Saccharomyces cerevisiae S288C: one gene and its partners. Changing the gene in region 2 together with the main gene of any one other region gives a genetic interaction. Each region holds a gene or a part of one and is shown on either strand. Other genes may lie near its edges.

Region 1 (7,785 bases), on a different chromosome or scaffold from region 2:
TGCTTTAGAAAGCGAGTCTAAGTTTGCCAAAGCATATGCTCAAGGTGTATCCAAGAAAGAATATTGGAGCTATACATTTGAAGATTCGTTAGATCTGCTGGGTAAATTACCTGTTATTGCTTCCAAAATTTATCGTAATGTGTTCAAGGATGGTAAAATTACTTCAACCGATCCTAATGCTGACTATGGTAAAAATTTGGCCCAACTTTTGGGCTACGAAAACAAGGATTTTATTGACTTAATGAGACTATATTTAACTATTCATTCTGATCATGAAGGTGGTAACGTTTCTGCCCATACTACACATTTAGTGGGTTCTGCCTTATCTTCGCCATACTTATCTTTGGCCGCTGGTTTGAATGGTTTAGCTGGCCCATTACATGGTCGTGCCAATCAAGAAGTTTTAGAATGGCTATTTAAATTGAGAGAAGAAGTGAAAGGTGACTATTCAAAAGAAACAATTGAAAAGTACTTGTGGGATACTTTGAACGCAGGGAGAGTTGTTCCTGGTTATGGCCATGCGGTTTTGAGAAAAACTGATCCTCGTTATACGGCTCAACGTGAATTCGCATTGAAACATTTCCCAGATTACGAGTTATTTAAGTTGGTCTCCACCATTTATGAAGTTGCCCCAGGGGTTTTAACTAAGCATGGTAAAACTAAGAACCCATGGCCAAATGTTGATTCACATTCCGGTGTTTTATTGCAATACTATGGTCTAACTGAGGCTTCGTTCTACACTGTATTGTTTGGTGTTGCCAGAGCTATTGGTGTGTTACCCCAATTAATCATCGATAGGGCTGTTGGTGCTCCAATCGAAAGGCCAAAATCATTCTCCACCGAAAAATACAAGGAGTTGGTAAAGAAAATCGAAAGTAAGAACTAAGGAAAATTTGATTTTTGATTCAGGGTATGCGACTATTCAAACACGTATTTTCATATACGAATGAGTAGTTTATAATTTATATAAATATATATTACATAAGGAAATGGCTATGACTTCATGATTTTTACGCTTTGAGTCCCCTATGCCTACCGGTTATGTTATATACTTGGCAAATGATATCAATGAATAGAAAACAAAATGCTCTTAAATTCCTGCAAAGCGCTTTCAAATCGAATTGTGGTGGGCTGGCGCGCTGATTTAGCAGTAAAATCTAGCCTGTAGTCGATATACTACGTCAAGGTGTAACTAACGTTTATATGTATATGAACCTGCAGAAGAAGCAAAATGACAAGGTTAATGCATCTTTATCTGTCCTAGAGTAGAAGATACACTAAAAAGTTGATAAAGCGAATATAATATGGTCATGTGAAAAAAGCAATCTCATAAAATTTTCTCTTTTTCCTTTTTTTCTTCTGTTCTTACCTCAAGATAAATGTCACTTTTATACTAATTAAAAGCAGTGTTTTATATTTCTACCAGCAAGGTTTTGAGTTTAATCACATAAAACTAGGAGCAGGGTAGCATAAACCTGCTGTCTAATCCGTATTCATTCTTATCAGTCCAGCGCCGTTTGGGGCACTTTTAGTAAACAGTAACTTATACCACATTAATATAATTTCTTAGTTCGGCATTTTTTTGCTAGGCGCCTAAACGCAGATATCCTTAAATACCAAATTTGAACGTTATTTTACTTTTCGGAAGACAAATACATAAATAAATTTTAACATTAATATATAAAAAAATAATAAAAAAATGTATATTTTTTAAAATGTTTTAAAATATTTTTAAAAAGCTGCACGTGACTAACTAGAACCATTTCACAACAACTCAATTAATTGCGGCTTCACATCTACTTGCTTATAGGGAAGAAGTAAAGAGAATAATCCGATTTATTATAGGGTTGCAAATTTTATGTGTACATTACTTTTTTCTTACATAGTAAATCTACTCCTCACCATCGTCTTCATCAAGATCGGGGAGCGGGTATTTTAGAATACAGGCTATACCCGTCAATTGATCAAGTTCTTCTCCAAGAGAATGCAAAGTACTTAATACCAATGCTTTTCCTCCATTGCTCTCTACGGAGTCCATCAGTTTCAAATATTCCTCTCTTTGTGCAATATTGTCTGAATGCAAAACTTTATCTGTTAACAGTAAATAACTAATTGCGCCATACTCAGCCGCTTTAACTACCTCTTTTTCACCATACCAAGCTTTATCATCATCCTTGTTTAAATGCAACAAAAATTCATCCATCACCATGATTTCTTTGGAGTATTTAGTATCTTGCAGCTTTGAAGCATATAGTGGATTTTTCAAAACTTCATTAATGCCCTGTAAGTAGCCCGTGGAGCAGTGGGCTATAAAGAACATTCCTTTGTTATCGAGTATTTTCTTATTGTGTTCCTCTTCGGCATACTGGAAAATTTTGTCCATTAATATCTTAGCGTAGAAACCTGGAGAGCAAAGAATAATAGTCTTTAATTTATCAAAATTCAAATCTTTCTTCATTGCACTGTAAATTGCTTTATAAAATTTCTCAGTTTTTTCATCAAACTTCAGTACATCAGTAGTCCTTTTCTTTTTTGGCATACTATATTCAATTTTTTGTTTTAAAATAGTAGAGGAGGATGTCACTAAACAAACATGGGCGATCCCTTCCTGTAAAACGACCGCCGCGGTGTCTGATTTATACTCGATATTACAGGCTTCATTTAAGAGCTTTTGCATGAATTTATTAAAGTTTTGTTTTATGATAGTAAAGGGATACACGTAGTCAAGGGTAAAGCTCAAATATTTGCCGACAGGTATGTCAACATTACTAGCTCCACTTTCATCTGTAACAGTAACACCTTTATATTTCAAATATTCATCCTTCATATCAAAATCCTCGGATATTACTTTAATCTTCAACTTGACCAAATCTGTACTTTTTTTCTTACCAGCTTCATCAAGTTTAGAGGTGAATTTTTTCTTGAATATCAACTCGTCATCTTTGTCTACTATTTGATAAACAGTAAACAGATCTTCCTTGTCCTCCGGTAAAAGAGTAATCACTGCTCCTCCTTTGTTAAAAGAATCCTTTTTCAGACTAATAACCTTCATATTTTTGCTATGATAGGAATGCGATAATTGAACAAAATGACAACGATGCAGCAACGAATGCTTAATTTTTTGGGATCTTCATTAAATTACATTTTACATTAATATACAAAACTAGGTGAATATTGAATAATGTATGTACACTTTCATCACGCAGTACGGATTTTTGGTAAAAAGAAAATTTTTTTCAGCTCTGCTTAAAAAAAGCTGGGAAGCGATGAGATGAGAAAAGTCTAAGTTGTTTGGTACTTTCGTTATTAAGTTCCTAGAAAGAAGAGGCTGCCACAGGGAAAAAGAATAAGATATACAAGTCACAATGTCTTCAACTCAAGACAGTAAAGCGCAAACTCTTAATTCTAATCCAGAAATTCTTTTGAGGAAAAGAAGAAATGCTGATAGAACTAGAATCGAAAGACAAGAATTAGCTAAGAAAAAGAGGGAAGAACAAATCAAAAAAAAGAGAAGTAATAAGAACAAATTTGTCAGAGCTGAAAGTATAGTTGCAAAGACTTTGGCTACCTCTAGGGAAAAGGAAAGAATTAAAAGAGTGTCTATATTAGAAGATAAGAAGGCAAAGAATGAAACGCAGCATATTGCATCTGGGAAAGATTTTATTCTGAAAATAACAGAAAAAGCTAATGGCGCCGAAGAGAACTCTGTCGACTTGGAGGAGACTGAAGAAGAAGAAGACGATGGTTTAATCAGAGAAAAGACTACTTACGATGGCAAACCTGCTTTACTTTTCATTGTCAGAGTAAGAGGTCCGCTTGCTGTAAATATTCCAAACAAAGCATTTAAGATTTTGTCTTTGCTAAGATTAGTTGAAACTAATACTGGTGTTTTCGTCAAATTGACCAAAAACGTATATCCGTTGCTCAAGGTTATTGCGCCATACGTAGTGATTGGCAAGCCTTCTTTATCTTCTATCCGTTCCTTGATTCAAAAGAGAGGTAGAATAATCTATAAGGGTGAGAATGAGGCTGAACCTCACGAAATAGTTCTTAATGACAACAATATTGTCGAGGAGCAATTAGGAGATCATGGAATAATTTGTGTTGAAGATATTATTCATGAGATTGCCACTATGGGTGAGTCTTTTTCTGTTTGTAACTTCTTCTTACAACCATTCAAGTTGAATAGAGAAGTATCTGGATTTGGTTCTTTGAATAGGCTAAGGAAAATAAAACAGCGGGAGGCTGAATCAAGAACTCGTCAATTTTCAAATGCAGCTACAGCACCAGTTATCGAAGTTGACATTGACTCTTTATTAGCCAAGTTGAATTAATTAAGAGAGTATTTTAAAATTGTATAGTACATAGGTTGTTAGTTATCTAATGCCATTGAAGGAGCAGATATTGAGCTTTTGCATATAATTAGTGGTGCCTCATGGATTGAAGAATATACGTATTTTGGCAAGTTTATTGGTTTTTAGTTTATGTATCGGCAAAAGCACGGGCGCCTCTTTTTTTCCTCGCTTACTGAGCGCTGTTTTGTATATAAATACATTTGCAGTGGGGTGCACCCTCGAGAATATATGAGATCATTAAAGCTCCACTTGTTGTAAATTGTTTGGCGATTTTATATGTTTAGACACACCGATGAACTAAAATTCGCTTTGAAAAGTTTGCTATGAATACTTTTTTTCTTTCCTTGCTAAGTGGCGCCGCTGCTGGTACCTCTACGGATTTGGTTTTTTTCCCTATAGACACAATTAAAACCAGGCTTCAAGCTAAGGGTGGATTCTTTGCTAATGGAGGATACAAAGGCATATATCGTGGTTTGGGAAGCGCTGTTGTAGCATCGGCGCCAGGTGCTTCACTTTTCTTTATTAGTTATGATTATATGAAAGTAAAATCAAGGCCATATATCAGCAAACTTTACTCACAGGGATCTGAGCAATTGATTGATACGACAACGCACATGCTTTCCTCTTCCATTGGTGAAATTTGTGCTTGTCTTGTTCGAGTTCCCGCAGAAGTCGTTAAGCAAAGGACGCAAGTTCACTCTACCAATTCTTCCTGGCAGACTTTACAGTCAATTCTACGAAATGACAATAAGGAAGGTTTAAGGAAAAATCTTTATAGAGGGTGGTCTACCACCATTATGAGAGAAATACCGTTTACTTGTATACAGTTTCCTTTATACGAGTATCTAAAAAAGACTTGGGCAAAAGCCAATGGCCAAAGTCAAGTGGAGCCATGGAAAGGGGCTATCTGCGGTTCTATTGCGGGTGGGATCGCAGCAGCTACAACGACACCATTAGATTTCTTGAAAACCAGATTAATGCTCAACAAAACAACCGCCTCACTTGGAAGCGTTATTATTAGGATTTACAGAGAGGAAGGTCCTGCTGTATTTTTCAGTGGAGTGGGGCCCCGGACAATGTGGATCAGTGCAGGTGGTGCTATCTTCCTAGGCATGTATGAAACTGTTCATTCGTTATTATCGAAAAGTTTCCCAACGGCTGGAGAAATGAGAGCGTAATGAAAACATAGAGCAAAAGCAACTACCAGTTGTAAGAGGTAGATCGTTTACGTACTTTACGTAAGCCTTCTGAGGCCTCTTGTCTGTTGTTTATTTTTTGTTATTCATATAAAAAAGTCGTCTATTTACGATATCTGTTCAAAGTACTTTTTTGGATATTTGTTAAACCCATTTTCACTGTATTGGAAAAATCAGACTCTTTTCACAGTCTTCTTCAAAGTCTTCGAAATTTTTTCAGATTATACGTATACACAATGACATTATAAAGTTAAAAAGCCTGGAAATAAGTCAAGAATGAATAAATACTTGTCGCAGATCCAATAGGTGAGAAAGTATATAGATCGAGAGTAGTTCTAGAGGCGTTTAGCGTACGATATATCCAAATCACAACCCCCATAGTTATAATTATTCAATCTTTCAATACAAACATCTGCATCATCGACGTTATCGTATTCAACGACAGCTATTCCAGTTGGTGCCCCTTTGGAATCATACCTTAATTCAGCATTGTTAACCTTTCCGATTGTCTCGAAAAGGTCGTAAAGATCACTTTTTGCAGTTGAAAATGGCAAATTACTGCAATATATGAGTCTATTTCTTTCACCTCCACCGACAACGTTTTCGGTAAATTTTCGAGCTTCTTCGTTAACGGGAGAATCATCCATTGGGATATCAACATCGTCTCCATCACTGTGGTTATGTACGCTTTCCTTAGACTTGACATCCAAGACGTTACCCTCTATACTATAACCGTTGTATTTCTCAATCGCTCTATGCAGATCTTTAATATCATAAAAGGACACCGTACCAGATCCAGTGGATACTCCATCGCCATCCAATTCCACATCAGCGTGTGCGACATTCCCACATTCCTTGAATATGTCTTTCAAAGCCTGCCAATTAACGGAAGCAGGTAAATTTTTTACAATAACTTCATGTGTTTTTCGGTTATGTCTAAGCTCTCCTCTATCGAGTGCTTTCCTTTCCTTGATATTGTTTGACGGTGGTGGATTATCTTGCCTGACGAAGATTTTACGATCCATGAAGAAGGCCCCATCGTACTGGCGGATGGCCCTGTCAACATCATCCGAATTAGTGAACTCTACTGTACCCATACCTCTGTGGTGCCCTCTTGATGTAATTATATCCGCGCGGACTACTTTTCCTATCTGTGAAAAAAACTCAGTGAGATCTTCGGGGGTGCTGTCATATGTTAAATTACCCACGAATATACTATTGGAATAGTTTCTATTGACCTTTTCTTCGTATGTACTATCCAATTCACGTGCCAACAAAGGACCGTAATCACCTCTTGCTCCACTACTACCAAAACCGCCTCTCCTACTGTCATCACGTGTATTGTGTCTACTCCTAAAGCTTCTAGGATAGTCATCACGTCTGTTCCCATAACGACCAGTCACATCTCTTCCTCTGCGCCTATCATCGTAACGGTCTCTAGATCTAGGATTATCTCTGTTATTGAACCTTTCTCTTTCTCTGTAATCAGACCTTTCTCTACCTCCTCTATATTCTCCTCTATCTCTGCTTCCTCTGTACGTATCTGCGAACTTACGCCTACCGTTATAATTACCTGACCTCCGGGACAAATGGTTGTCTCTTTCATAACCATGATCATCACTCATCCGACGACGAACAGGTGATCTCGACCTCGATCTACTTCGATTATTCTACAACAATGAATAACATTAGTAAAAGTAACTAAATTTCATAATGAGAGAGACCAATAAGTCATTGCGTTTCAAAGTTGGAATAAACTGTACATTATAGCATGGCAGGTAGAAAATCAGGGTTTTATTTATAATTGATATTCTCACTTTCATAGCCAGTAGATAAACATTAGCAATGCATTCAAAAAACCCCCTTTAACCAGTGGAATCACATTGAAGCAAGCGTTTTGAAGGCAGCATTAAATGGTGACTCACCATTCGTTGATGTCTATTTAATTCCAATGACCTCATAAAGTCTCATTTTACAAACTTTTCTTCACCTCCCTTATCAATGAAACATACGTTTTCTGAACCTCGTTCTTGATCAGACATATCCTGTTAACTTAATATTTGGCGTTCTATCTGCTCATTCAAACTGTTTTCGAACTCATGAGCAAACATAATTATGAAATTTTTCAGCCAGTACTCTACTTTTTCATTTCCCTCGCTAAACAAAGAGAGTCATTTGAAACGACCCAAGGAAAGACGTAAATTGAGGTATATGTAGTGACCAGAAGAGGATAA
Region 2 (7,526 bases):
AAATCGAAGGGAAACAAATTCAAACCAAGCGGCCGAGTTATCTCCCGTTCCTAACCTACTACACTAATCACATTTTTCCGTGGAAATAACGTTATTGAAAATGCGTTCTTGCCTGCCATACGTGGGTGAAATACTTCCACGTTCGCAAAAAATACTTCCACGGTGACGAAGTCTGTCTCAGTCGTATATTAAATGCAGAAATCGTCTTATCATTATTGGGCTCTCTTAACGGCGCAGCATCACCGGGTGATGAATGCCAAGCCGCAGAAAGAAAGAAAAAAATTTACTTCAGATTTCTGATAAAAATAAAACGGAAGAGATGAAAGCTAATAATAGAAACAGCTCGATCTTCCTCTGAACAATAATAATTAAAGGACAGACAAAAAGAAACGTAAGAAAGAAGCGAGCCTGTTCTAAAGTGTTCAACGACTGATTCAATTAGAACTGCCTACTCCTGATAGCCAACTCAACTTTTGACTCGTTAAAGTAATTGAAAGCTGGCAAGCAGAATTATTCTTTTTTTTTTTCAAGGTTTCTATCACGTTGTGAGGTTAATATCCCCCGGAGCAAACAGGCTGAAGCGTGAAAAAAACTTAAATATTAAAGTGTCGCAAAACTATACTATAGATACAACATGGGTAGACGGAAGATTGAAATCCAGAGAATTTCTGATGACAGAAATAGGGCTGTCACGTTTATAAAACGTAAAGCTGGCCTTTTTAAGAAGGCCCATGAACTATCCGTTCTTTGTCAAGTAGACATAGCCGTCATTATACTGGGGTCCAATAACACGTTCTATGAGTTTTCCTCTGTGGATACGAATGATTTAATCTATCACTACCAAAATGACAAAAACTTGCTTCACGAAGTGAAAGATCCTTCCGATTATGGAGACTTTCACAAAAGTGCATCCGTTAACATAAATCAAGACCTACTCAGGTCGTCTATGTCAAATAAGCCTTCGAAATCAAATGTTAAAGGAATGAACCAGTCAGAAAATGATGATGATGAGAACAATGATGAGGACGACGATGATCATGGCAATTTTGAGAGGAATTCAAATATGCATTCGAATAAAAAAGCCTCTGATAAAAATATACCGAGTGCACACATGAAGTTGTTATCCCCGACCGCACTCATTTCAAAGATGGATGGTAGTGAGCAAAATAAACGTCATCCTGAGAACGCGCTGCCGCCTTTACAACATTTGAAAAGATTGAAACCGGATCCTTTGCAAATAAGTAGAACTCCGCAACAGCAACAGCAGCAAAATATATCGAGACCATACCATAGTAGCATGTACAATCTTAACCAGCCTTCATCCAGTTCATCTTCTCCTTCCACGATGGATTTTCCAAAATTACCAAGCTTTCAAAACTCTTCCTTTAATGGTCGTCCTCCACCCATTTCCATTTCACCGAACAAGTTCAGTAAGCCATTTACAAATGCATCCTCAAGGACCCCTAAACAGGAGCACAAAATTAACAATAGTGGCAGCAATAATAATGACAACAGCAACTACACTCAGTCACCATCTAATTCTTTGGAAGACTCTATTCAGCAGACTGTCAAAGCAAGAAGGAAATTGTCCGCCAGACCGGTACTTCGTGTGAGAATTCCGAACAACAATTTCAGCAGTAATTCCGCTATTCCAAGTGAACCCTCCTCTGCCTCCTCCACATCGGCCAACGGCAATAGTATGGGCTCTTCGCAGATAATGAAAGAAAACAAAACAAGTAGGTCTAGCAAAATTTCTCCACTATCCGCATCTGCCTCAGGCCCCTTAACTCTCCAAAAAGGTAATAATGGCAGAATGGTAATAAAATTGCCAAATGCAAATGCGCCTAACGGTTCTAACAATGGTAATGGCAGTAACAATAACAATCACCCTTATCCTTTCGGAAGTGGGTCTTCACCTCTTTTTTCTGCAACACAGCCATACATTGCCACTCCCTTGCAACCATCGAATATTCCTGGCGGACCTTTCCAACAAAATACATCTTTTTTAGCTCAAAGACAAACCCAGCAATACCAACAAATGTCTTTCAAAAAACAGAGCCAAACAGTACCATTAACTACAACATTAACCGGACGCCCCCCTTCAACTTTTTCCGGCCCTGAAACCAGCAATGGCCCTCCAACTGGTTCACTGCCATCGAAGTTCGTACATGATTTGATGAGTAATTCTCCAAATGTTTCTTCTATATCGATGTTTCCAGACTGGTCAATGGGACCCAACAGTGCCAAGCCGGGAAACACAAACAATCCTGGTACTTTCCCTCCCGTACAGACGGCCGTAAACAACGGCAACTCCAGCAATATCAGCAGCACTAACAACACTAACAACAACAACAACAATAACAACAACAACAGCAGCAACAACAACAGCAACAACGGCAACGACAATAACAGTAACAATAGCAATAACAGTTACTATAGTAATAATGAAGATGCACCCGTAAATGGAGCTGCTATTTCAGAACATACTACCGATGGTGACTCGAACAATCAGTCCAACTCAAGTACATATGATGCTGCTGCCACCGCATATAATGGAAATACCGGGCTGACTCCATACATAAATACTGCTCAAACACCACTAGGCACTAAATTCTTTAATTTTTCGACTGATATTTCAGGAGAAAAAAATTCAAGCAAAATATAAACCAAAAAATTTGACCAGTATGAATATTCCAAGCATAAGAAACTTCTTTTCATTTAAAAAATTTATATTTATATTATTGTAAATGCACATATTTACGTAGTGAATAACCCAAACAAGGAAGAAAAACGAAAAACTCAATTGCATTTTCTGAATAATGATAGTATTTAAGTACTCTTTTGTGCATTAGCAACTAAAATGAATTGCCGCCTGGCCTGGAGTTTGATGTAAGCAGAAGCCGGAAGAAGACAAGAGGTTCATTCAGAGAAAACATCCGTACATTCGAGTTCTCATTGAACCCATACATTTCAACTATTTTTACATAGTTCGTTTTTCATGTGTAAAATTGTCATCGACGCGCCGGAGCATCGGAAAGTTGGAACGTGCGCGATTGCACCAATCCCACTGGGGCCGTGCATTCTGTAGGCAGGAAGCCACTGGACACTCTGCCCGTTCCCACTTGGAAGATTGGCGTAATTCCACGCTCCTCTATCGATTCTAGCGGGAAAGTTATCTCTCCTGGTAAGCGTTGGAGGAATGCCGCTACCTAGGTAAGTCTACTGGGTGGGAATTCCAGTACCGACGTCTAGGAACATCATGATGCTGCAGTTTCTTTGAAATTTCATATACAGTGTTACCAAGGATAAAGTGGTTAATGCTTATTCGTCATTGAATTTTTATATTTGCTTAAGAGAAGTGACAAAAGAGTGAAGACAGACTATACATCATGAAGGTATGATTTATGATACTATTATTGAGGGGCAACAGAGAACTTTATATGTGGAAAAATGGCATGAAAGTTTGAAAGTGAGAAAGAACTAAACAGAACCAGACGTCGTAAAGATTTTAGAAATTTTTTATGGAAAGAAGCAGGAAGACTACCATATACTAATTGATGCGTTTGTGGCGTTATTTTTAAACAAACAGAGCGGGTTTACATATACTGTTACTACAAACCGTGAAATTGAAGCAGTTCATATACTTGGAGTATAGTCAATAAAAGACAAGCTTTTTCATCTTCCACTTAATAATTTCTCTAGAGTAATAAACTTCACCCTATTCAAACATTAATTTTGCAATAGTATACTAACAAATTTTCTTAATAACCTGTTGAAAATTTAAAATAGTTGAACATTTCTTACCCAGTTAACGGGTCTCAAAAGACCTTCGAAATTGATGATGAACACCGTATTCGTGTTTTCTTCGACAAGAGAATCGGTCAAGAAGTCGATGGTGAAGCCGTTGGTGACGAATTCAAGGGTTACGTCTTCAAGATCTCTGGTGGTAACGACAAACAAGGTTTCCCAATGAAGCAAGGTGTTTTGTTGCCAACTAGAATCAAGTTGTTGTTGACCAAGAACGTTTCTTGTTACAGACCAAGACGTGATGGTGAAAGAAAGAGAAAGTCCGTCAGAGGTGCCATTGTTGGTCCAGATTTGGCTGTCTTGGCTTTGGTCATTGTCAAGAAGGGTGAGCAAGAATTGGAAGGTCTAACTGACACTACTGTTCCAAAGAGATTGGGTCCAAAGAGAGCTAACAACATCAGAAAGTTCTTCGGTTTGTCCAAGGAAGATGACGTTCGTGATTTCGTCATCAGAAGAGAAGTCACCAAGGGTGAAAAGACTTACACCAAGGCTCCAAAGATCCAAAGATTGGTTACTCCTCAAAGATTGCAAAGAAAGAGACACCAAAGAGCTTTGAAGGTCAGAAACGCTCAAGCTCAAAGAGAAGCTGCTGCCGAATACGCTCAATTGTTGGCTAAGAGATTGTCTGAAAGAAAGGCTGAGAAGGCTGAAATCAGAAAGAGAAGAGCTTCTTCTTTGAAGGCTTAAAGTTAGAAAGCAGTAAAAGATAAATTCTTTTGTTCAAAAACTCCTTTCTTATTCTGTATTTTGTGTATTTTTAAGCTTAAAATCAAATAACTTTATTTTTTATATAATTAACAAAAAGAAAAATAATCATATGTATTGTAAACGAGAGTCGGAATGTATCCTCAACTGAATATCCAAGCGAGTCCACAGTAGCTAATAGTCTGAAAAAAAAAGGAACCCTTGTCCTTGAACAGAAATGACAAAATTACTACGTATTTCAGGATGCTATATAAGATTGTTTACAAGAGTACAAAAGTCCAGTATAGCAACAGCAGATTGGACGTCTAGTTTCGTTGCTTCATCTCATAGTAACCAATTCTTCTGCGCTAGTCGGATGAATAGCAACACAATTATCGAAATCAGCCTTAGTGGCACCCATCTTTATAGCAACACCGAACCCTTGCAAGATTTCTGCAGAGGAATCACCAACAATGTGCAGACCGACAACCTTTTCATTTGGTCCCGCACAAACAATTTTATATCTTGTGGGTGATTTCTCACTCAACATAGCATAGTACATGGCGGTAAATTTGGAATTGTAGACCTTTATATTCTCCTTACCGTACTTTTCAATGGCTTCCTTCTCAGAAATACCAATGGAACCGGCTTCAGGATGTGAGAAAATTACGCTGGGGACGTTCTCGTAATCTAGTTTGTCATTACGGAATTTCTCTGGACCAAACAGTCTATTAGACAGCTTTCTGCCCGCTGCAATAGCGACAGGTGTCAATTCAACTTTTCCAACAACGTCACCTAGAGAATAAATGTTTGGAACATTGGTGTTCTGATATTCATCAGCAATTATTTGGTCATGAGAGTTCAGCTTTATACCTACATTTTCTGAACCCATACCTAGATGGGATTTACGTCCAATTGTCCAAATTAATTCGTCAACGTCATCGATGGACTTTGAGTCATTCATATGTATTTTCAGTTTGTCAGTTTCTACATTTTTCTCCACCTTAACAATTTTGGATAGTTTATGAACGTTGATGCCTTCCTTTACGTAATGGTCAGTAATAGTGTTCTGGATGCATTCATCAAATTTTCTCAAGACAGTTTCACCTCTAATTACCAAGTGCGTTTCGGATCCCAGCCCATGGAACACACCTGCTAGCTCAATACCAATATAACCAGCGCCAACAACAACAACTTTCTTAGGTTGTTCTTCCAATCTAAAGAACCCATCAGAATCAGTACCTAATTCGAAACCTGGAATGTTTTCGGGGAAAATAGCCTTTCCACCGGTCGCAACTAAAATATGGTTAGCGGAGTAAACTTCAGTAGTATTATCCCTTTTCTGAACTTCAACATTACCGTCCTTATTGAATCTAGCCCATCCAAATACAACATCCACTTTTTCTTTTTCTAAATTCTTCTGGTATATACCGTTCAACCTATGGACATAAGCATCCCTTTTCTGCTTAAATTCTGGCCAATTAAAAGTCAAATGCTCTTTATCTAATGGAAGATTCTGATATAATCCATATTCATTTGCATGGGATACTCTAGTAGCGAGGTCAGAAGCATACCACATGACTTTCTTCGGAACACAACCCACGTTAACACAGGTACCACCAAGAGCCTTAGCTTCAACTAGTAATGTCTTCGCACCATAAGATGCAGCTCTTCTTGCGGAAGCAACACCCCCTGAGCCACCCCCGATGACGAGGTAATCGTAATGCTTGGTGTTCGTGGACATAGTTCTTATCTGTAGACTTCTAAATGTTTGTTTGGTTGCAGAAAGCATAAAGTTCTGTAAACTAATATGTAAATAGATATATATACATATGAAGGAAAGCAGCAAAATATACTGAGAGTGAGAAGCGCATGAGAAAAACCAGAAGTGTTTCTTATACTTTTTTAGACTGATTTTAATAGTAGATTCCAAATGGAAAGCTCCGAAATCCTCGAAAAATTGACAAGGGTCGTGCTTACTAAGTGACGTCAAAAAATATCAGGCATAGTGAAAACCAACGTGAAGAAGCAAAAGCAGCAAAGCGCCGTGCAAATGAATTAAACTATCTATTGAGACTCCTACATGAAATGCTTGCCAATTATGTACGTATAAAACCAACAATTTTATGCTAAACGCGTAAAATCTAGAGCCGAGTTTGATTCTTCCACGCTTTCAATGCTGTTATACGGAGAAACTGTCGTCTTTTCCGTACCTGACTCTGAAAATAATGAAGATTTACGGGCAGCATGCAGCATCTTTTTAGAATACTCATGCAATGTGCATAAAAGGCATAGAATTGACCAACAAACGCAAACACCGCCGTATATGGTTCCTAGGACTCTAAATGCATATAAGGGAACGTACTGGTTATACTGCACATATAACTCTTCGTTTCCTAAAGACATAGTACCCATCGGGAAAGTCATCCCCCAAAAACCTTTGTGGAAGGTATAAACTCTCTTCACTTTTCCTGTCTCGTTTTCAATCTCTTTTTTATTGTAGTACGACAGGATTGAAACGACAGAAATCACGGTGAAAAAATAGCCCATAGCGAGCAATGCCATAGCAGAAACCATGCCTAGAATTTTGAAACACCATGGAACTGCAATAGTCAATATCTCTTGTTCTCTTGTAATGTTATCTGTTGGGTAATATTTGCCCGCATATTTTTTTATATTATCTGTAAGCAATAAGACTCCAAAACTTCCTTGGCCCATCGGGCCCAAAAGCAGGAATAAGGTGAAAACCTGTGTCATTGGTGGTATCTTATTAATATAAAGACTCCAGAAGTATATCGCAATCAGTATGAAGACGAAGATAATGGCATGCAGCCACGTTAAGGCACATATGACCAACGTTATCAGTTGAATGTTTCTATTAAACGCATGGAAGAATATTTCTGACATTGTGAATGTTCCACAACTTGAAGCGACGACAACCAGCGGAATGATATCCAGTAGCAATACACTTTTCATGTTTTCGGATGCCATTTTGATATTATATGAAGGATAATTCCCAATCCCTTCCAAAGGGT
Region 3 (7,755 bases), on a different chromosome or scaffold from region 2:
TCCTGCTACAGCTGGTATATTCGCGGGCGCAGGAATGTCAAGTGAATTGAGAAAGCCCTCTAAATCAATTCCTAAGGGTACCTTATGGGGTTTACTTTTCACTTTTATCTGTTATGCCGTTGTTGTCTTCTCCATGGGTTGTTCCATTCCCAGAAGATCGTTATATGATGAAGTACAAATTATACAGACGATCAGTTCCGTTCAGTGGGTTATATTCATGGGTGAAATGGCTACTTCTCTTTTCTCCATCATAGTGGGGATGCTCGGTGCTGCTTATGTATTAGAAGCAATTGCAAAGGATAACATTATTCCTGGTTTGGAGATTTTTGCTCATTCACCGTTATATTCATTGATTTTTACTTGGATTCTAACACAGCTATGTTTGTTTTCAGACGTCAATAAAATCGCCACATTTATCACAATGACATTCTTAATGACGTTTGTGGTCATGAATTTGGCGTGCTTCCTATTAGGTATTTCCTCTGCTCCCAATTTCAGGCCCTCTTTCAAATACTTTAACAGGTATACTACAGCAATTGGCGCATTACTTTCTGTTGTTGCGATGTTAATAGTTGATGGCATCTCAGCGTCTGTCTTGTTTTTGGCTATGATTTTGCTATTTTTATTCATTCATTATTTTTCACCACCGAAGTCTTGGGGTGATGTGTCTCAAAGTTTAATATATCATCAAGTGAGAAAGTATTTGCTTCGCCTACGTCAAGACAATATTAAATACTGGAGGCCTCAAATATTGCTGTTTGTAGATAATCCAAGGACGAGCTGGAACTTAATAAGGTTTTGCAATCATTTGAAAAAAGGTGGTTTGTATATTTTAGGCCATGTTGCAGTAACTGCGGATTTTCCGAAGCAACTAAATGAATTAAAAACTCAGCAGAAAGCTTGGATGAAGATCAGAGACATGGCAGCAATAAAGGCTTTTGTCCAAGTTGGGACTGGTCCCTCCCTTATATGGGGAATTAGGAATGTTTTTATTGGTTCCGGGCTTGGAGGTATGAAACCAAACATTACTGTTGTCGGTTTTTTTGACCTCGAAAGTTATAGAAAGCACATCCCACAAAGTCGCAGCCAAAATAACCTTCAGAAACAGGTGGAAATAAAAGCTACAGTGCCACGTAGTACATGCTCTGATGTCAAAATCAATGTTCCATTGCCTACGGATGAGTGTAAAAATGAAACCAAAGTTAATGTACAACAATGGGTTCAAATTGTAGAAGATCTATCACTGATGCAATCCAATATTGCCATAGCGCATGGATTCAAAAATTTAGAGATACCGAACAAAAGGGACAGCTGCTTTCCAAAAAAAACTATAGATCTTTATCCCATCCAAATGTGCGGAAAAGTTGAGGCAAAGGGTGACCAGCCTGCGGCTATCACTACTAACTTTGATACGTATACACTGATTCTACAATTAGCTGCCATTTTGGTTACTGTTCCTGAATGGAAGCGCACACATTCGCTTCGAGTTATTTTATTTGTGGAACAAGAATATCATAGAACGAACGAAACTCAACGAATGAAAAAGCTATTACAGGTTCTAAGAATTGACGCAGAGGTTTTGGTAGTATCTTTAGATCAATTCAGAGTATACAACACAATTGTCAAGGGAGACCCAATCGTGTTTGATTATGTCAACTCGAAATTGGCCGATAATGAATGGTGGAAAGATTTGGTTGAAGCTCGTGATACATTAAAACCGAAGCGGAGGTTTTCCACTATTGAACCTCAAACGATAGCAAAGCAATTTACACAATCAAGAAAATATACGTCTGGGGTTCAGAAATTGGGTGTCTCATTTACAATGAATACGAGAATGCCAACTAACCGCATTGATACCCCATGCGAGAGTGAGGACTCCGATTTGGATACAGATCTTACGTCAATTCGTGATGCCTTCTCGGCATCGACTAATATTTCAGTAGGTAAGGACTTAACGACCAAATCGAAGACCGGTTCCGACAGAACAAATTTACTCGTAAAGAATTTACAAAGCGATGTGTCAACACAGTCGTTAAGACCCGTTTTCTCGAGTAATACTTTGCCGAGGACGAGAGTCGTGGAAGATGGCACGGGTGAACAGCCGACACTGATCCCAATTGCCGAACCTGACCTTTCGAATGGGAACGGTACTGGGAGCGGTATTGGCAACGGCAACAAATTAAAGAAACCGGTTCTTCCCGAATTATCACCTTGTTGTTCAAAAGATAGTTTAGTCACAGCGATGCAAAATTTAGGTTTCAATGATCTTCCCAGCACTGCTCAACATTTGGTTCTGAATGATGTGATGACACAAATGTCAAAGAGTTCGGATTTAATTTTTTCAACCTTGCCAGTTCCAGCTCTTGGAACACATGAAGATCACGATGCAAGTTTACAATATGTCGAGGACTTGGATATTTGGTTGGAGGGCTTACCTCCATGCATGTTAATCAATTCGCAAACCATGACAGTAACTACTGCATTATAGAATAACACATATATCGTTATGCATTTCCCCAGAACTTATTTACTACATATAGAAGTCTTGTAATACGGCCGAAATACAGATGCTTTATAGTAGGGTTATTGTTTCTATTCATTTTTATTTCAGTTGGGCTTTACGCTTTCCGGTTCGATATACTGTTTTACCTTACGGAATGCAAACATGGTATAGAAATATGATGCCGCTTCCTTTTCATCCCCTTCAACACCATATCTACCATCAGATCTTTGTAAACCTTCCCTCATTTTAGGCGAAAACCTCTCAATCCATTTGGGAATTTCTTGGACAAAAAATTTATTAAAAGGCATTTGCGATACTAGTTCCAAACCGTATTCATCAGCCAAACTTCTTAAGGTTTCGAATGGCACAACATATTCAGGAACATTATCTATAGCATCTTCTAGCCAATAAGTATACATTTGACCATAAGGCGATGTGAACTCATAATCATTCTTTTGGTATGAATTATTCTCAAATGTCACTTTATAAATGGAGTTTCCCCAAGATGGCTTTTCCACTTCTTTGGGAAATTTATTCAGTTTATAACGAATGAATTCTGAATCTGGTATCGTGCCAAAAAAGTGACCACCAATTTTGAGTGATTTGGCGACATTCAGTAAAGCTCTCCTTGCTTTTTCTTCGGTCTCAAAAGCATAATGCAAGCAAAATTGCGTCGAAACGATATCACACGGAAATCTACAGTCTGGGAAGGGCTCTACTGCAACACCTAATGATTCGCCAAAGCAATCCCCAGTAATTAGCACAACTTGGTAGTCCAAATTTCTCATGGACCGGTATCTCTTATGAGCTTCTTGGATAGAGGCATTGGAAATGTCAATACCAATAAACTGTGAAATACCTGCAGCACCATATTTTCTTAAATCACCACCTTTGCCACATCCGAGTTCTAAAACGACATCTCCAGGTTTTGTATATTTGTCAATTAACATATACTTAATCGCATTGTTAAAATTACGAAGCTTAATAATAGGCGATAGATTCCTCTTAGCGCGATTGGCGATTATTGTACGTTCATTATAGTGCTCTCGGACAATCTGGTCAACATTTATGGATCTATTTGCAGTCATCTCTATTTCATGTCTCTTTAGTTGCTCTTCTCTCAATTTTTGAGCACGCTGTTTGCGTAATCTTTCCTCTTGATCATACCTTTCATGTCTTCTCTTTTGGATTTTAAACCCGGATTCTGCCTCAATGGGTAGATCAGACACCTTAGAAGTAAGGATAGAGCTGCTTTGCAAAACTGGTAATGATCCATTACCATCACCAGGCGCATTGGCAGTAACTTTGGAGTCTTTTTTTGAGACTGTGGACGATTCATCACCAGTAATTGAGCCGTACTGACGGTCATAGTCTTCTTGTGACATCCATATTGGCTTCTCTGGTTTGGTTGACATTCTACTTTTCTAAGACGGATAATGGACGACTCCACGTTGTAGTAGTTGTCACATTAATCGGAAAAGTGTCTCACATGTAAAGGATTAAAATAAGAAATCTTCTAATTTATGTTGAAATATCTTGATTTACCATTACCCGGATTAGATGAAACTAATTAAAGTCATTTAGAGCAATGGACCAAACTAAAGGTATTAGAGTTCTTTCTAATATAATACAGCGCCAAATAATTCGAGAAGGGAAATCATAACGCTGTTGCCTTGGGTTTATTTGAGGTATGGAAACTATTGATTCGAAGCAAAATATTAATAGGGAGTCTTTATTGGAGGAAAGGAGGAAAAAACTAGCAAAATGGAAACAAAAAAAAGCACAATTTGATGCTCAGAAAGAGCATCAAACTTCACGCAATGACATTGTTACTAACAGTTTAGAAGGTAAGCAGACTACTGAAAAGTTTACGGAAAGACAGGAACGTGTAAAAGAAGAGCTTCGGAAGAGAAAAAATGAATTTAGGAAATCTGACGAACCTGTATCGGTTAAGCCTTCGAAGAAAAAGTCGAAGAGAAGTAAGGTAAAGAAGAAAATATCCTTCGACTTCAGTGATGACGATGATTCTGAAATAGGAGTTTCTTTTAGATCGAAGGAGCACATTCAAAAAGCTCCAGAGCATGATAATGAAAAAGATCCACTGGATGAGTTTATGACGTCATTGAAGGAGGAGAAAATGAGTAATAGTAAAGGCATGTACGACAGAGGCGACATTCTTGATGTAGAGGATCAATTGTTTGAACTTGGAGGAACCGACGATGAGGATGTTGAAGATAATACGGATAATTCTAATATAGCGAAAATTGCTAAACTCAAAGCAAAAAAACGTGTAAAGCAAATTTATTACTCTCCAGAAGAGCTTGAGCCGTTCCAAAAAAATTTTTATATAGAATCTGAAACAGTTTCCTCGATGTCAGAGATGGAAGTTGAGGAGCTTAGACTTAGTCTGGATAATATCAAAATAAAGGGAACAGGTTGCCCCAAACCAGTCACAAAGTGGTCTCAACTGGGACTATCAACGGACACCATGGTTTTAATTACAGAAAAGTTGCACTTTGGCTCCTTAACGCCTATTCAATCCCAGGCTCTTCCCGCTATTATGTCAGGTCGTGATGTTATAGGAATATCAAAAACTGGCTCCGGCAAGACCATCTCCTATCTTTTACCATTGCTAAGACAAGTAAAAGCTCAACGGCCATTATCAAAACATGAAACAGGGCCCATGGGTTTAATTCTGGCTCCAACTAGAGAGCTAGCTTTACAAATACATGAAGAAGTTACTAAATTCACAGAAGCAGATACATCCATTAGATCAGTATGCTGTACAGGAGGTTCTGAAATGAAAAAGCAGATTACTGATCTTAAAAGAGGCACTGAGATTGTTGTTGCCACACCGGGACGATTTATTGATATATTAACACTAAATGATGGGAAATTACTTAGTACTAAAAGAATAACGTTCGTAGTAATGGATGAGGCAGACAGGCTGTTCGATTTAGGTTTTGAACCTCAAATAACGCAAATCATGAAAACTGTTCGACCGGATAAACAGTGTGTTCTATTTAGTGCAACTTTTCCGAACAAACTACGCAGTTTTGCCGTAAGAGTTTTGCATTCCCCAATATCTATTACGATTAATTCAAAGGGAATGGTTAATGAAAACGTAAAACAAAAGTTTAGAATATGCCATTCAGAAGATGAAAAATTTGACAATCTGGTGCAGCTTATCCATGAGCGCAGTGAATTTTTTGACGAGGTTCAAAGTGAAAATGACGGACAGTCAAGCGATGTTGAAGAAGTTGATGCTAAAGCCATTATATTTGTATCAAGTCAGAATATTTGCGACTTCATTTCAAAAAAGCTGTTAAATGCTGGAATTGTGACCTGTGCTATTCATGCAGGTAAGCCATATCAAGAAAGGCTTATGAACTTAGAAAAGTTCAAACGAGAAAAGAACAGTATTCTTCTCTGTACAGAGGTTCTCTCAAGAGGTTTAAATGTTCCCGAAGTGTCGTTGGTTATTATCTATAACGCCGTCAAAACTTTCGCGCAATATGTTCATACTACTGGAAGAACTGCCAGAGGTAGTCGCTCCGGTACTGCTATTACTCTTCTATTGCATGATGAACTGTCAGGTGCTTATATCTTGAGCAAGGCAATGCGCGATGAAGAAATAAAAGCTTTAGACCCTCTGCAAGCAAAAGAACTTCAGGAAATGAGTGCCAAGTTTGAATCCGGTATGAAAAAGGGTAAGTTTAGGTTGTCGAAAGGGTTCGGCGGCAAAGGACTGGAAAATATCAAAAGTAAAAGAGAGGAAGCTCAAAATAAAGATTTGGAGCTCAAAAAGAATGATAAGAGGAGCGATGACTTGGAAAAGAAAATCAGCAATCCACGCGAAGGGCATGACAGTGTGTCTGAGTCTTCTGCGCTTATTCCGAGACTCAATTATGAACTATTCAAAGAGTCTACAGACGGGTCGATCATCTTTTACGCCAAGGTTTATATTAATGATTTACCCCAGATTGTAAGATGGGAGGCTACAAAGAATACAACCTTATTATTTATCAAGCATGAAACCGGATGTAGTATTACTAACAAGGGTAAATTTTACCCTGAAGGGAAGGAACCAAAGAATGAAAACGATGAGCCTAAACTATACTTATTGATCGAAGGCCAAGATGAGAAAGACATACAATTAAGTATAGAATTGCTGGAGCAAAAAGTTAAAGAGGGGGTCGTAAAGGCTGCAAGCTTGTCTTTGAAGAGTACTAAATACTAGTTTTTAGAATTTAACTCACTCGTGGTGCTATATACTTTCGTAGTTAGTTCTGAAATTTTTAGGGTGGTAATTTAAAGCATATTCAATCATAATAAAAAAAAAAAAAGAGAATTATTAGGAAAAATAAAAACAAAATAATATATAATATATGATGTAGAAAAAAATCTTGAAATTTTTATCGATTCGAATAAAATGGAATTTAAAAAAGTGGGAAAGAAACAATGAGAATTCATAGGATATAATGAAAGGTAAATGCTTTAAAAAAAAATTAAGAGGGGAAAATAAAAGTAGAAAAGCAAATAAAAACAAAACATGGAATAAAAGTAACTTCAAAAAAATTTATCAAGAAAATGGTAGGCTTGAAGAATATAATAATAGTTTTTTAGTTGATTTGAGATGTGATATGACAAATAAAAAATAATGAAATAACGATAAAAATAAGGAAGGGAAAAACTGACAATCGAATAATAATATTAATAATGGTAAGTTTATCACATCAATTCATAGGGAATATAAATTTGAAATTGTTACTCTTCTTTCTTTTTTTGTTCTGTAGAGAAAGAAGGTGAAAAGTGAAGGATATTAACTTTAAACACACGTTGGCTTCAAATTATGTAATTCAGGAATAGGAATATCGTTAACGATTAAAGTTTGGAATTGGTTCAAAACTTCTTGCAAAACGGAATATTTGACAGCGGTCCCTGTTGTTAATCTGGCTAGTTGTCTGGAATCACGGCAATATGGAGAGTAACGTTTAACAATTTTCAAATACAAAACCATTCTGCCGTCAACTGGTATGGAAGAAGAAGCAGCCTCCGCAGCAAATTCATCAAATGCACCAGAAGCAGTTGCTGCTTGCAATGCTGGATGAGAGTAGAAGTCCATTGGATTTTGAGGATTGTTGAACAAATGCTCTGGTGCTGGAGTATCCATTGGAGTTAAGGATGGCGAAGGAGTTGCGGTTCTGCTTATTTGAGTGCTGTTCATGTTACTTTTCTTGGAATCTCTATCA
Region 4 (8,455 bases), on a different chromosome or scaffold from region 2:
AGCGATGATACTGCAAGAACATCCACAAATTCTTCCTCTGTGACTCAAGTAGCTCCAAACGTCTCCGTACAACCTTCTTTGGTCATTCCTAAGATGGCATCTATCGATTGGTCTTCTGAGGAAGAAGAAGAGGAGCAAGTAAAGGAGAAGCCAAATGAACCGGAGGGAAAACAAACAAGCATGGATGAAAAGAAAGAGGCTAAACCTGCTCTAAACCCCATAGTTACAGATTCTGATCTGCCTGACTCCCAAGTGCTCGCTCGTGATATCACATCAATGGCAAGGACTCCAACAACGACGCATAAAAATTACTGGGACGTTAATGATTCTCCAATTATCAAGGTAGATAAAGATATCGATAACGAAAAGGGTCCCGAACAGTTGAAGAGCCCTGAAGTACAACGGGCTGAGAACAATAACCCTAACTCAGAGATGGAAGACAAGGTTAAAGAACTGACTGATTTAAACAGCGACTTACATTTGCAAATTGAAGATTTGAATGCTAAGTTAGCATCTTTAACCAGCGAGAAGGAAAAGGAGAAGAAGGAAGAGAAGGAGGAAAAAGAAAAGGAAAAGAACTTAAAGATTAACTACACCATTGATGAAAGTTTTCAGAAAGAATTGCTGTCATTAAACTCTCAAATCGGTGAATTATCAATTGAGAATGAAAATTTGAAGCAGAAAATTTCAGAATTCGAACTGCATCAAAAAAAGAATGACAACCATAATGATTTGAAAATCACTGACGGTTTTATTAGCAAGTACTCTTCTGCCGATGGGCTCATTCCAGCTCAATACATCTTAAACGCTAACAACTTGATAATTCAATTTACTACTAGGCTTTCCGCAGTACCCATAGGCGACTCCACGGCAATTTCCCATCAAATTGGCGAAGAGTTATTTCAAATATTATCCCAGTTATCGAACCTAATCTCCCAGCTATTACTATCGGCCGACCTATTACAGTACAAAGATCAGGTCATTTTACTGAAGGCATCATTATCGCATGCGATCACATCGATAAGATATTTCTCTGTTTACGGTCCCGTATTAATTCCGAAAATAACTGTGCAAGCTGCTGTTTCAGAGGTTTGTTTTGCCATGTGTAATCTAATTGATTCAGCGAAAATAAAATCCGATTCAAATGGTGAGAGCACCACCTCTAATGAAGGTAACCGACAGGTATTAGAATATTCTTCACCAACTGCTACCACCCCAATGACGCCAACTTTCCCCTCGACTTCTGGAATAAATATGAAGAAGGGGTTTATAAACCCAAGAAAACCAGCATCTTTCTTGAATGATGTGGAGGAAGAAGAATCTCCAGTCAAGCCATTGAAAATTACACAAAAGGCAATTAACAGTCCGATCATAAGACCGTCATCGTCTAATGGAGTTCCAACAACCTCAAGAAAACCTTCAGGAACGGGGCTATTTAGTTTAATGATTGATTCATCAATTGCTAAGAATAGCTCCCATAAAGAGGATAATGATAAATATGTCTCGCCCATAAAGGCAGTAACATCGGCCTCCAATTCTGCAAGTAGCAATATTTCCGAAATTCCTAAACTAACACTACCTCCACAAGCCAAAATCGGTACTGTTATTCCACCGTCAGAGAATCAAGTTCCCAATATTAAAATCGAGAATACAGAAGAGGATAATAAAAGGAGTGACATAACAAATGAAATCTCTGTTAAACCAACTTCTAGCATTGCTGATAAACTGAAACAATTTGAGCAAAGTTCCGAAAAGAAATCATCACCAAAGGAAAATCCTATAGCAAAAGAAGAAATGGATTCAAAACCAAAACTATCCAATAAATTTATCACTTCAATGAATGATGTGTCCACAGATGATTCAAGCTCTGATGGTAACGAAAATGACGATGCAGACGATGATGATGATTTTACCTATATGGCATTGAAACAAACAATGAAGAGAGAAGGTTCAAAAATTGAAAAAAATAATGACAGCAAACTACCTGCAAATATAGTGGAACTTGATTTACATGAGTCACCGGAGTCCGTGAAGATTGAATCTCCTGAATCGATAAAGGAAATCACGTCATCTGAAATGTCTTCAGAAATGCCAAGTAGTTCGCTGCCTAAGAGATTAGTAGAGGATGTTGAGCCTTCAGAAATGCCAGAGAAGGGCGCATCTGTAGAATCAGTCAGGAAGAAAAATTTTCAAGAACCACTTGGTAATGTCGAATCTCCGGATATGACGCAGAAGGTCAAGTCTTTGGGTATGACAGGAAAGGCTGTAGGCCCAGAATCAGATAGTAGGGTCGAATCTCCGGGCATGACAGGACAGATTAAATCTTTGAATATGGCAGGAAAAGTTGTAGGCCCAGAAGCAGATAGTAGGGTCGAATCTCCGGGCATGAAAGAGCAGATTAAGTCTTTGGGTATGACAGGAAAAATTACAGCTCAAGAATCAATCAAGTCCCCGGAAGCGGCTAGGAAGTTGGCGTCATCAGGAGAAGTTGACAAAATTGAATCTCCAAGAATGGTAAGGGAAAGCGAGTCCTTGGAGGCAGTAGGCAATACTATCCCCTCAAACATGACAGTGAAAATGGAATCCCCAAATTTAAAGGGAAATACTGTGTCTGAACCTCAAGAAATAAGGAGAGACATTGCCTCCTCAGAGCCGATAGAGAATGTTGACCCCCCAAAAGTACTAAAAAAGATTGTCTTTCCAAAGGCTGTTAATAGAACTGGATCACCAAAATCAGTCGAAAAGACTCCATCTTCAGCTACACTGAAAAAGAGCGGGCTCCCAGAACCGAATAGCCAAATTGTTTCTCCTGAATTGGCAAAAAATTCACCTCTAGCACCGATAAAGAAAAATGTCGAGTTACGAGAAACTAATAAACCACATACTGAGACTATCACTTCTGTGGAACCAACAAACAAGGATGCCAATACTTCTTGGAGAGACGCCGACTTAAACCGTACGATCAAACGAGAGGAGGAGGACGAAGATTTTGATAGAGTGAACCACAATATCCAGATCACTGGTGCATATACGAAAACTGGAAAAATTGATTATCATAAAATACCTGTTGATCGTAAAGCAAAAAGCGAAGCAGAAGTGCATACTTCCGAGGAAGATATTGATGAATCAAATAATGTTAATGGAAAAAGAGCTGATGCCCAAATACACATCACTGAAAGAAAGCATGCTTTCGTAAATCCAACTGAAAATTCACAGGTAAAAAAGACGAGCCACTCACCATTTTTAAACAGTAAACCGGTTCAATACGAGAACTCAGAGTCGAACGGCGGCATTAACAACCACATAAAGATAAAAAATACTGGAGAAACTACGGCACATGACGAGAAACATTATAGTGATGATGATGATTCTAGCTATCAATTTGTTCCCATGAAACATGAAGAACAAGAACAAGAACAAAACAGAAGTGAGGAAGAGGAAAGTGAAGATGACGATGAAGAGGAAGAAGACAGTGATTTTGATGTGGATACATTTGACATTGAAAATCCGGATAATACACTATCAGAGTTACTATTGTATTTAGAACATCAAACAATGGACGTCATATCCACGATTCAATCGCTTTTGACATCGATCAAGAAACCACAGGTGACGAAGGGTAATTTGAGGGGAGAATCGAATGCAATCAACCAAGTCATAGGTCAAATGGTGGACGCTACTAGCATATCAATGGAGCAAAGCAGAAATGCCAATTTGAAGAAACACGGTGATTGGGTGGTGCAAAGTCTAAGAGACTGTTCGCGTAGAATGACAATTTTGTGCCAATTAACTGGCGATGGAATACTAGCGAAGGAAAAGAGCGATCAAGATTATGCTGACAAAAACTTCAAACAGCGGTTGGCAGGGATTGCGTTTGATGTTGCCAAATGTACAAAGGAGCTGGTAAAAACTGTAGAAGAGGCAAGTTTGAAGGACGAAATAAATTATTTGAATTCGAAGTTGAAGTAAAGTTAGTAGTATCTAGAGGAGAAAGAAAAGGAAGACAAAGACAATCAATAGAATGTATTATGTATGACATATAATAATAATAATTATAATAATAATAATAATAGTAGTAGCAGTAATAATAATATTATTATAGTATATTAAAACAACAAAAAATTAGTAAAAATACTATAAATGTTTGAATATGAAGATATATATGTAGGAAGAATTTTTATTGAATATAGAAATTTAAAGAAATATTATTAAAAACCGGAAAATGAAAAAGAAGAGTTAAAAAAAAAAAAAACGGAACTAGTAAAAGATGTGAAAAAAAGAAGAGAAAAGTAGAACGAGAACACCCACTATCCTTGGGTATTATTATAAGTTGCAATACCATCATCCAGTATGCCCAGATTAAACCATTCATGGTCCAGAGCGTCCTTTGCGGTAATCCTTTTTGTTGGGTCGAACTCAAACATTTTCCTGAGTAGATCGATGAACCAGTACCAAAACAAGAAAGTTTCCTTATCGAGTTCATCAGTAGTTGAGGAAGAAGAGGAATGTGTTTGTCTTTTCCATGCCAATTTCGAATTTATCAAAGACCAGTTTTTCTCCGGCGGTAGATTCCAATTGATGCTTAAGCTATCGCCGTAATCCTGTTTCAAGACCTTTGAGATGTAAATATCTAAGCGATCACATGACTGCAAGACCCTTTTCATTGACTTTTCGGTGGTTATGGTATCTCCGCGTTTATTTTTTTCAGGCCATTGTAAGCTTAAAGTTTTTCTGTCGAAATGCTTTATCACCGTTGAATTTAGGTCTGATGGAGAGTTGCCCAATTTATGTTTAGATTTGTAAAACATCTTATCAATAATGTCTGTGGGGAAAGGGGTTCCATTGATTCGTTGCATCATAGCCATATGTTCTAGATTTTCATGAATGGGGTAAAGAGATTCGCCAATAACCAGTTCTACTAGGACACACGCGATGGACCAAATGTCGCAGGGGAACGACCAGCCCAAGCCAAGGACAATTTCCGGGGCTCTATAGTGACGAGTGGATATTACAGGAGGATGATATTCGTAATGGAAAATTGCGCTACCGAAATCAATGATTTTGATTTCTGGATTTTTCAAGATTTTGCGCTTCCCCTTACTGGCTTCACGGCGTCTCTTGCTTAGCGACTGTACGGTTTTCAAAGGCAATTTTTGAGCAATATGGGTTTCGTCACAAATCAGGATATTTTCTGGTTTCAAATCCGTGTGTATTATGCCCAAATCGTGCAAGAAGCAGACAGATCTGATTAGCTGTCTGGCAATGGCCTGAATATGAGAGCCGGGGAACCTGGCAATGCCGTTGGAGCACATAAAATCGTAAATGGACCTGCCGTATAGATCTGTCACCAAACAAATGTGATTTTTGTAATCGAAGCACTCCCTTAGCAAGAGGCACTGGAACTGACCTTGAGGGTCATTATTCAGGATAGTCTGTAGAATTCTTAGTTCTGTTTTGGCGGCTTCTCTATATCTATCTACAGCCCTTATCACTTTTACAGCCACGTAATTAGGTTCATACTTGTTATCGATGCATTTAAGTACTTTACCAAACGTGCCTTGGCCCAATAGGTCCTTCACAACAAAGCGGCCGCCACTGCCAAATATGTCGTTTTCCTGGTAAACGTAGTGACCGTCTTTGTCCGTTTTGAAATTTGATTTATTGGATGATGCGCTTTCTGAAGAGCCGTTTGATGTAAATTTCCGTAGTGAAGAACCAATTTGTTTCTTGAGGTTGGATTGAGGCAGGGAAGCTATTTGTGCTGGTGGGTTGGAAAAGGGAGAAGTGCTGTGAGCAATCGTGAGATTCACTGCCTTGTTGCCCTCCAGAGTCTTTGCACACGACCCCGTTAGATGCAACAGCTCATTTTCAGTTTGCGTTACTCTTGGCACGATAGCGTTGGTTTGATCAGGAACATTAAAATAGTTCGATTGGTAGCTCAGCTTCGATAGAGGCAACTGAGGCAGTGAGATGGTTCTTTGCTTCTTGAATTTCTTTGGTGTCGTGATATACGTACTATTGCTTGTAGCTGCGGTACCGCACCCTGGATTATTTGAAGTAACAATATTATTGTTGTTATTGATACTGCTGCTACTAGGCAGAATCAAAGGTGACGAAAACTGAATTGGCTGCTCTTTGATAAAAATGATGTCATCGTCAGCATCCTCGTCCACTCGACTACTGTTATGATTATTACTGTTATTGATTGTGGTGTTAATGATACGCGGCTCCTCGTCTAGTTCTATGGCATTTTCATTGTCCAAGAACAACTGGTGTTGGTGTTGCCGAGGACGGAGCGGATTGTCTGCTTGATTCAGGTCTAGACTGTTCCTCAGATTGTCTGTTAGAAAAGAATTTTGCCGAGCAAACATCTCGTCCAGCAGCTTGTTTGTGCGCGTTTCTTCGAAATTATCCAAAAAGGTCTTGTTAGAGCTTGTATTGTTAGCAGGGCCCGTAGTAGTGGAATTATTCATATTTGCTCTTGAACGTTTTCTAGTGCCAATTTGAATATTCTGTGACATAACTAAGGTACGCGGAAGATAAAGCAATAATGAAGAAGAGCAGTATGCGTGTAGATTAGTCTTTGTTGTGCTAAATCTTCGACTTGGTAAATACTATGTTTCTTTCACTCTTTTTCTGTCTCCCACTTTGTTTCCTTTTTCTTTTTCTTTTTTTTTTTTGGGTTTGCTTGCTATCTGGCGCAGTATTTCGTGAATATAATATCTATTTAGTTAGCGTAAGCACGAGGAGTTACTGCACTGTTTCCTTTCACTTGGTGGTGAGGTAACAATACTTTGTAAATCCGGTAGATCTGGGAAGTAAATACTAAACTTTATTCTAATATAGGAACTTCATAATATAAAATCCAACGCACGATGCTAGAGATAAAAAAAGAGGGTGGGAGATGTGGAGCCAGGATTCAAATCGAAAATCGTAATCGGAAACTAAACCAGCATTGCAACCGGGCCATAAGCCATATCGTTAAGCACGCCAAAGCTTTTTCCCTTCGCTGTGTGTTTCCTCGCAACTTTAACTCCGGCCACTCACTAAGCCAAGGCGTGAGGAGAGAGACTAAAGCTTTGTGGAAAACCGCCCAATCACGCTGACCCCTTTGGCCCGTTTGCCGCCCCCTAGAAAAAAAAGAAACGGACGGGCCTGGGCCCGCACAGCCTCGAGCAGGGTCACTTCGCGCCATATCGGCGGCTATTTCAAAAAAAGAAGTTCTTTACCAGTTGTTGTAGAAAGTATGATATTACCAACAGCGTCTAGCTTTTATTCGATATTCCGATGTGGGCGGCTATTTATTATCGGTGGCGTCTTTTATGGTTTTACCGTTGTTGCCTGGAGCATCCTCAGGAAGACCTAAATGTGACCATTCATCGTAGTCCATCAATTGGTGGTCCATCCTGCACCGCAGGTAGTCCTTTGCCAGTAGTCTACAATTCATTGCATTTTCGTTCTGCACAAGCTGCATACATTTGAGATACTCTTGCATGTACTTGGTGCATTCGCCGTCGTGGTCTAGCGGGAACGAACCTCTCTCGGGTGGAGTAGGTCTCAATGCGCTCAGCGAGCTTCCTGGGTTCCCTGACATTGGATTCTTGTGTTATGTTTCGTAAAAGATACTTTGTGTGTAGTGGGTGCGTTTGCTTGTTTTCTTGAAGTATAGAAGAAGGAAAGAACGGAAGAAAAAATTTTTTTCCCTCTTGTTCGCTTTATTTGGATTTTCTCGTTTCTCAACTCCGCGAATTTGAGCCCTTTTCTTAGACCCCGGAGAGAAGATGCAGAGATGTAGTAATAAAAGCTTTTTATCCAAAAAGCTTTTAAGCTGTTGTTTTAAAAAAGGTTAAATGGGCGCTTTAGAGATCGGGTAGTGGGCAAAGCCTGCGATAAGAAAAGAGGGAGCGTGCTACTTGACCGGGAGCAGCAAAATGGGCGGCCCGAGCCTTAGATCATACTCATCGCCGATAAGAGTCAGCTTGGTAATAGAACCGCTGGTGCGTAAATGAGGCATAGAACTTATTATCGTCTTAAAAAACTGCCCAAAAAAATATTTTCCAGGTTTCTTGAAGAGTAATCTTGTTATGTAATTTTTTTTTGCCTGTGGATTGTATAAGGGACCAGAGGCGGTCAAAAACGCAAAAAGCGGCATGGTAGGCGAAAATACTAGGACGATTACTACTCAACTGACGCGTCAACTTAATATTGTCCTGGTACATAACCGAACCATCCCAGATGCGCTGTAAGTACTGTTTAAATGTATTTTAATATGTGCATAGAGCGTGTAAATTATGGCGAGCTATGGTTTCCGAATTGTCGGACTGCTCATAGCCCTTGCTTTCGGAATATTAGAAGTGGTCTGGCGGTAAAGAAAGTGTGACATATGTCAGACGTTGAGACTTATATGTGTAAAGCTAAATATAATAATTCAGTTAAAATAAAAGTGGGTGACAGG

What was found.
Region 1: mutations in RPS6A (region 2) and DOM34 together harm fitness more than expected from each alone (negative genetic interaction), as found in Saccharomyces cerevisiae (3 studies listed by BioGRID, with this or other methods).
Region 3: mutations in RPS6A (region 2) and ABD1 together harm fitness less than expected from each alone (positive genetic interaction), as found in Saccharomyces cerevisiae (2 studies listed by BioGRID).
Region 4: mutations in RPS6A (region 2) and KNS1 impair growth when combined (synthetic growth defect), as found in Saccharomyces cerevisiae (2 studies listed by BioGRID, with this or other methods).

The regions. Positions count from the first base shown.
Region 1 is NC_001146.8:622,723-630,507, reverse strand, and holds DOM34 (ribosome dissociation factor DOM34), read right to left. Parts: upstream 3,053-7,785; coding exon 1,892-3,052; downstream 1-1,891. Other genes in the region: citrate (Si)-synthase CIT1, read left to right, coding at 1-886; RLP7 (Rlp7p), read left to right, coding at 3,366-4,334; PET8 (Pet8p), read left to right, coding at 4,679-5,533; HRB1 (mRNA-binding protein), read right to left, coding at 5,887-7,221, 7,564-7,593. UniProt on the Saccharomyces cerevisiae protein: Component of the Dom34-Hbs1 complex, a complex that recognizes stalled ribosomes and triggers the No-Go Decay (NGD) pathway.
Region 2 is NC_001148.4:374,259-381,784, reverse strand, and holds RPS6A (40S ribosomal protein eS6 RPS6A), read left to right. Parts: upstream 1-3,389; coding exon 3,390-3,395; intron 3,396-3,789; coding exon 3,790-4,494; downstream 4,495-7,526. Other genes in the region: RLM1 (Rlm1p), read left to right, coding at 635-2,665; glutathione-disulfide reductase GLR1, read right to left, coding at 4,832-6,283; SSU1 (Ssu1p), read right to left, coding at 6,616-7,526.
Region 3 is NC_001134.8:687,776-695,530, forward strand, and holds ABD1 (mRNA (guanine-N7)-methyltransferase), read right to left. Parts: upstream 3,919-7,755; coding exon 2,608-3,918; downstream 1-2,607. Other genes in the region: VHC1 (Vhc1p), read left to right, coding at 1-2,488; DEAD-box RNA helicase PRP5, read left to right, coding at 4,194-6,743; YBR238C (uncharacterized protein), read right to left, coding at 7,332-7,755. UniProt on the Saccharomyces cerevisiae protein: Responsible for methylating the 5'-cap structure of mRNAs.
Region 4 is NC_001144.5:101,379-109,833, forward strand, and holds KNS1 (serine/threonine protein kinase KNS1), read right to left. Parts: upstream 6,522-8,455; coding exon 4,308-6,521; downstream 1-4,307. Other genes in the region: SPA2 (Spa2p), read left to right, coding at 1-3,969; COX19 (Cox19p), read right to left, coding at 7,298-7,594. UniProt on the Saccharomyces cerevisiae protein: Nonessential protein kinase.